2 linked regions of the Xenopus tropicalis genome follow. The protein of the gene in region 2 interacts with the protein of the main gene of each other region in a pairwise test. Links are inferred from orthologs where the notes say so. Each region holds a gene or a part of one and is shown on either strand. Other genes may lie near its edges. The genes, in order: ap2s1 and aagab.

What was found.
Region 1: the proteins of aagab (region 2) and ap2s1 interact in binary tests that used the Homo sapiens proteins (3 or more experiments, as listed by UniProt). The link is inferred for Xenopus tropicalis from reciprocal best matches to the Homo sapiens genes AAGAB and AP2S1.

The regions. Positions count from the first base shown.
Region 1 is NC_030684.2:70,196,526-70,200,028, reverse strand, and holds the end of ap2s1 (AP-2 complex subunit sigma), read right to left. Parts: intron 1,868-3,503; coding exon 1,754-1,867; intron 1,179-1,753; coding exon 1,119-1,178; intron 1,008-1,118; coding exon 906-1,007; 3' UTR 607-905; downstream 1-606. UniProt on the Homo sapiens protein: Component of the adaptor protein complex 2 (AP-2). Adaptor protein complexes function in protein transport via transport vesicles in different membrane traffic pathways.
Region 2 is NC_030679.2:117,428,919-117,432,924, forward strand, and holds the end of aagab (alpha- and gamma-adaptin-binding protein p34), read right to left. Parts: intron 3,842-4,006; coding exon 3,765-3,841; intron 2,042-3,764; coding exon 1,951-2,041; intron 1,595-1,950; coding exon 1,490-1,594; intron 1,228-1,489; coding exon 1,178-1,227; intron 1,051-1,177; coding exon 973-1,050; 3' UTR 591-972; downstream 1-590. UniProt on the Homo sapiens protein: May be involved in endocytic recycling of growth factor receptors such as EGFR.

The sequences.
Region 1 (3,503 bases), on a different chromosome or scaffold from region 2:
ATTAGTGGTTGTTTATTTCAGTGGTCAATGGACAAAAAAAAATGCACAGCTGAGCCACAAAAAGTGTCATGCTGCCTTCACCAGCTGTATGCACCCCACAATAACTATTAGCAGAACTCCATTATGTGCTGCTTCTGTGAAGATTTCAATCCATACTGGCAAGTACAACTTTAAGGGGAGTATGGGATTTGCACCATGGATTGTTCTACTTTGCACAGGATCTTGGTATACACCAGGTTAACTTGTGTTTTGTTGAGATTCCACTGAGTTCTGTAAATCATTAGCACTAGGTGTGTTAGCACATTTAGGCAGCACACAACCCATATGTTACTGGGGAAGCACCATTACATTTCCCGGTGCTGCACATTCTGACTGTGCTGGTGCATGACACCAGTGGAGGGGGGGGCACATGAAATGTTACCAAATCAGGAGAATGTAAACTTAACTGCACAGAGCTGCTGTTAATTTACAGTACACACAAGGTGTTTAAGTTCCTCCTTAACAAAGTACTTTAACTATATTCTCTCCCTTCACTTGGGGCCAGTTTATCTGCAACCAGCTCACTACAGCACATCATCCCTTCTCCAATTCTCTCCCACAGCATCATTATACACAGAATATTTTATTGTTTTCACATTAAAAGTTAAAAAACTTCATTTGTTTGAGAAGAGAAAACAAAAGAGACAGGGGCAGGTAGGATATAGAGTTATGGATTAGAGGCAGTAATGGGTCACATAATAATGAATAAATTGAAACAGAATACAGAGGTAATTAGTGAGGGCAATGCAAGAAGGTTTAGCTCCTGCTTGGAATGTTATTCAAGACTGAAAGGGGAAGACATATATATATTTATATATACACAAGATGCTGGAGAGTTTAGGTGGATGGCAGCTCAGAAGTCACTCTCACTCCAGGGACTGGAGCATCAGCAGCTGCTTCAAAACTTTTGTCTGACTTGTTTCTCTAATTTCACCAGCCAAAAACATTTCATCCACCACTGTGTACACCTAAAATGAAAAAGCAAAAGTTTAATAGAAAGAAACAAAAGGCATTGGAGAGAGAAGCAACTGATAGGAAAAGGGTGAGATTTACTAATGAATGTGAAAGAGCAGTCTTACCTTGTAGAAATTGAACACCAGATCTAATTCACATACATTATGGAAGTACTCATTTAACACCTAAAGTAAAAAAAAAAAGCAAATTAGACATATATATTAGTGAATATATTTATATTTGTATCATTTATAAAGCACATTGTTTATTTACCCATTTCTAAAAAAGTGTTTTTAAATCAATAATTAAGCAATAATGGCATGAGTAACAGCACTTCATTGGTCTGCCAAAGTGAATACTTGTACAGTTATTGAAAGCATATTTAGATGTTCACACAAGACTGTGTAGACTCTGTTAGGCTTACGCTGGGTCCTCATTAAAAACTGGAGTTGTGAAAACACCCTGCCCCTCATATTAGTAATATCACTATTTGTAGAAACTGTAGACTGGGTTTGAAACTGGAAGGGTCAGGGAGATAAAGGGTGAGAGGGTTATACTGACATAACAATGAATAATTTGGGATTAGAAAAAGCTAATTAGAAAAGGCATACCTCTTTTAGAATAATCTTTTTTAATCTCAAATATTTAATTGTTCTGTCAGTATAACCCTCTCACCCTTGATCTCTCCAACCCTCCAAGTTTCTTTATTTCCATTTCATTTTGTTTTAGCTCACTGTCCATGTTTATACCATCTACTTACCTCTACAAAGTTGTGGATGGCTTCCAGATAAGCCAGGTTATTATCTGTCACGTCCACGCATATACAGAAATACAGCCCAGCATAACGGCGGTATATGATCTTAAAGTTCCTAAACTAAAAAAAAAGGTATGACAGGATGCTTTTTGGATACAGCATAGGAACAGGAAATGGAAGAATTTGCAAGAAGGTTTTGTATAGTTGTTTATGTTAACTATAGCTGAGTTAGTTTAAATGCCATTTATTAAGAGGCAGAGAATCATCCCCTATACTGGCAGCTTTTCCCTGTGTCAGTATGCTTTCCAGAGCCAAAATCCGCTCCATAAGCCTGCACACAGGCACAGGAAAAGGCTGCCAGCGTAGGGCCTGATCCTTGGACTATGTTTATTCGCAGGCCAAGAATCAGCCCCATCTGGTATTAGCCTTACTGAATACTGGGTCCAAAAGGGTGCTTTTGTAAACATAGTATGAAGCCAATCAACATCCCTTCTTTCCTCTCCACCGACGTATTGCTGCTGGGGAAACATACACAGTGCAAAGTTGCCTGTATTGTGTATGTTTGCATGTTAGCCGAGAGGAAAGAAGGGATGTTTTGTTACCAGTTGCAGCCGATATTAATCGTGGGCTACAAAATTCCCCATCTGTCACTGCCCTTGGGCAGTACACAAGATGATTAGTGGCCCGCGATAAATCTCCTCCATTGCGGGCGACTAATCTATGAATGCTTTACAGTACAGGTATAGGACCCATTATCCAGAATGCTTGGGACCAAGGGTATTCCGGATAAGGGGTCTTTCCATAATTTAGATCTCTATACCTTAAGGGCTCTGGCACACGGGGAGATTTCAGCACATTTCGGGTGCTGAAAAACTAGGCTTATACTCGAGTATATACATTAAGTCGCTGGTGGGATGGCACACGCTGCGCAGGTGATTTCGGCAAATCGCGAAGTTGCCTCACGAGGCATTTTTGGCAATTTGCTGAAATCGCCTGCGCAGCGTGTGCCATCCCACCGGCGATTTACATTTTCACCAGTGGGATGCTAGTTTGGGGAGATTAGTCGCCCGCGACAAATCTCCCTTGTCACGGGCGACTAATCTCCCCGAACTAGCATCCCATTAGCACTAATCTCCCCGTGTGCCAGAGCCCTTAGTCTGCTAAAAATCAATAAACCATTAATTAAACCCAATAGGATTGTTTTGAATCCAATAAAGATTATTTATATCTTAGTTGGGATGAATTACAAGGTACTGTTTTATTACTACAGATAAAAAGGAAATCAGTTTTAAAATTCTGAATTATTTGATTAAAATGGAGTCTATGGAGACAGGCTTTCCGTAATTCGGAGCTTTCTGGATAATGGGTTTCCGGATAAGGGATCCCATACCTGTACTAAACTTCATAAAATCGAGTATGTTTTCCTACTGGCAGCTTACTTTAATGCCAGCGTAAAGCAGTCACATGAGATAAGTTGCCCACAGTAGGGAAGATTTATAGCAGGCGACTAGGGCACAGAGTAGACAGTTTTCAGCCAAGAAGGCTGAAACCATATTGGCTTGAAACATTGCTACTCTATACCCTAAAACTGATAAATAAAGGCAAATTATCAACTGAAGTGCTGTCATCCAGATTTCCAAGAGGCACTTTTGTAGCTGGCGACCTAGAACTGGTGCCCAAATTGCACCAAAATACCCGCACAACAGGACTTATTTAAGCGGGATAAACCCTGCTGATTTTAAATAGTAGCAAACCA
Region 2 (4,006 bases):
CTGCTGGAATCTCCCAGGAGATGGGGGTGTGACTCCTGCAGGACTATACCCGGGGCTGATGAGAAACACTGGCATAGGGGGTCCAAGGGTAGCAATCATAATCAAACTAGCACCCCTGATTTAGACTTTCCCTGTCCTTTAATACAATGCAGGCAAGTAACAGGCGCTTATCACTTGGTACTGCTCAGTGCTGCATTTTTGAGTGCTGTGTGCCTGTCACTTGACTGCACCGGGCAATTCCCATTTTGTCCTCCACCATGGAGCCATAAACCACCCTGCCAACAAATACATTCATCCCTAATGAAAGAAAATACCATTTGGTATTAGTATGTATGTATTTCGCTATTGAGAGCTGTACAGTATTTGTTAATCCCTTTCTGCACTGCTGTCTCTGTCTCTTGAAACAATGTAGCATTACCTTATATTAAAATGATTGAAAACTTCTATTAAAAAAAAACATGTAGCAGGAGACAGTGTTGCACGTTTCTTCCCAGATCAGTTAATAATCTGGCTTCTGCTACAGAGTTTCAAGTGTCAGTGCCACCAGTGCAAGAAATAGAAAGACAGACAGACAGACAGAGAGACACTGCTTTCAATCAATTGCAAATTTGCTTAGAATCACATTTTCTTTTATTAAGCAACATTATAATTTTGGGTTTACATCCCTTTTAAGCAACAAAGTGTCAAAAAAGACTTGTTTTGTAGAGGTATGCGTCCGTAGTGATTCTTTGGGATTAAAATGCATGTGCCTCTTGTAAATATCAAAACCTGTAGTTTTAATGAATATAAAATATTTTATTTAGATTTGTCATCCTCTAATAAATATACAAGCAAACAATCACCGACAAGTAACTACTAAGTGGAAACATCATGGAGGCCGACCAGCACGGCAGGTAGAAGGGAGGATGGAAACGTGAGCAAGTCAGGTCCTAATGCTCCACTCTCATTGGAAACAGCAGGGGCTCATGGCTCTTAGCTCTCTTCCTCAGATGACAGACCTTCAATCTCATCCTGGTCTCCTCCAATCGCCATCCAGAAAGCTTTGGCAACCTAAAAAAAGGGGCAAAAGAACCTGTAAGCATACCTTGCCCAACACACTGGCACACAACAGGCACAACCCCTGTTCTTCATTCACCGTCCCAATCTACTGAGCCAATGAAATACACACGGCTATTACCTTTTCTGCGTGCAGTTTTCTCTGTTCATGAGGTAAAGTGGCAGCTTTATCTACAGGAAAAGCAAATGAACGTCACAAGCAGGTTAACAACCCCCTTGCCATACAGTCATAAGCTTTGTAAAGCTAACATGGTGTGTCGGATCATGTACGAGTTGTACCTGGATTTAAAGTCTTCTGATTGGTCGTTTTCTCAGTTATCTTATTTGCTAAATGCAAACCATGTGTAGAAAAATGGCTCTTACACTAACCAAGGAACAGTCACTTTGAATATACGGCCTTCTACTGCAAGTAGAAAGATTAATAGTATGTTACCTTTCATCTCCTGCAATTTGGTAAAAAGCCGGCTGAAGTTTTCTATGTCCCCCTCCCCCGAGGTAAGACTGGCAAGCTCTCTGATGTCCAGGTCCAGCATTGGATCTAGTGGAGGGGCAGAAGTTATTATGCAGCATGATATCCACACTATACACATATGAAAAATATGTAGTGACCTAGTCCTGCTGTTTTTACCCTAAACTGGCCCAGACTGGCAATCTGTGGATTCTGGCAAATGCCAGAAGGGCTGTAAGAAGCCATAGACAGACAGTATATACTGGGTCTCTTTGGGCCTATGTGCACTTGGAATGCCAGGGCCTATTCTAACTCCAAGTTCAGACCTGACCCTGTACAAACAGATGCTGCAGGCTGTAAGCCTATAGAAGGGCAGCACTTTTCCAGAGAGGACCTAGTAGTTACAGAAAAATGCTGAGCATGCACCATGCATCAAGTGTACCTACCAACTATGGTATCAACTTGCGAATCCCGGGGGTTTCCAGAGTCCTCTCCTCTGCACTGCTCCAAAGTTCCCTCACTGGCTGCAGGCGCCTGCTGGGAATAACTGGGTGTTAGTCTGAATCTGGTATTCTGAGCAGATGCAAAGCAGATGTGATACTCAGCAAGGCAACTATATTTCATTACACTGATCACTTATAGGTCAGGATGCTGTAATTTATATTGTGGAGAGTAAGACGGGGGAGCAGGAAGTGCTACCCATGAGTACATGTGCCTGTCAAAGTTTGCTGCAATGCACTGGCAGTATTGTAGCAGTTATGAGTGGGGAGAGAAGGTAAGGAATGGTGAGTAGTGGAAAAAGCTTATTTGTATTCTAACCAGTAGCTGAATGTTTAAGGGGTGAAAGAGATTAATAAAATTCTGTGTTTTTACTAATCAGCCTTATATTGTGACATTAAAATTCTGTATATTGTGCGTCCATAATGTCAGTAAGTGACAGCAGCACATGTGCAGTAAATCGGCAGATAAGAAGCCACTGGGGGCATCATTTCCTAAGTGGCCACGTGCCACAATACATGCCATATAGGTGTAATACATAATTTTTTTTAAAAAAAAGCCTTTATTCCATCAGCAAACTCATTTGCCCACTACACACATTATATTATATTATATATATATATATATATATATATATATATATATATATATATATATATATATATATATATATATCCATCCCCTACTTCTTTAGTTAGGCTTTAGTTCTCATTTAAGGTTGTGCATCAAACATAGCACTCATGTTAGCCATTGCCAGGTGACAGCAGCATGGAAATTAGTTTGTGTAAAGTCTTTTGCCTCAACTAAGAATCCACACCCTAGGGTTAACTAGTTAAGCAAGTCCATTGACAGTTAGTGTCAGTCACTGACCTGCTAAAAGTCTCTAAAAAGGTGCTCAGAGAAGCACAAGCTTTTAGGGTCACAGAGCTCCAAGGTAGGAGCCTACAAACTCTATCCAACATAATTCAGGGTACTTTGGTCACTGGGCTAGAACTCACATACTATCCAGTGTATTTAGTGCCTCCTTTAAAAGGCTTTTAAAAAGAGCTGCATTTTAAGTGGCTTCTGCATTAATTGGGGCTGTGGGCATTATGAATGGTATACGATAGTTAGCCACCTATTTAGTGTTAGAAGATAATGCTGGGATATAAAATTCAGTTTCACTATATTATAGAACTGTGATCCCCAACCAGTGGCTCGAGAGCAACATGTTACTCACCAACCCCTTGGATGTTGCTCCCAGTGGCCTTAAAACAGATGCTTATTTTTGAATTCCTGGCTTGGAGGCAAGATTTTATTGCATAAAAAACATGTGTACTGACAAATAGAGTCGCCTGTAGGCTGCCAGTTCCCATAGGGACTACCAAATAACCAATCACATCCCTTTGCTTGTGTTGCCCCCAAACTCTTTTTACATTTGAATGTGGCTCATTGGTCAAATGGGTTGGTGACCCCTGTTTTAGAAGGACAAACGTAGCGAGTTCTGTTTATGCTCACTTTCCTTTCTATGATGGCCTCATTCTCATCTGCCTGCGCAATATAAGGCTGTGTTTCTTCCTTTGTGTGCTTTAGTCATTGCCGTATCCAAGTGGGTGGGTGTTGAGGTGAGTTCGGACACAAATATAAATAAAATAAGAATAATGGCCCAGGAAGAAGAGATGGGACGGACTGAAAAGTGCGGGTCAAAGAGCTAATGCATGTCAGTTTTGTGCAAGTCCTCTATGGTGATCTGACAGACAGACAGACACAGGATACCACTCACATCACCCTGCAGCTCGCCGCTGGTCTCTGGGGGGTGATTCACAGCAGCCAATGAGCTGAAGATCCCGAAAGCTTGTTCTGGAATAACACGGATACTCAGTTACCACTCAGTGTGTCAGCAAGATCACTGCACGTCTGAAATGCAAGCAAAGAGTTGATACTAGAGAGAGAACGGGAAATCTTTAGAGCCCAGCTTGTAACACAGCAAACCTTTACCATGGATGGTAGTGCAATCTGATTTGT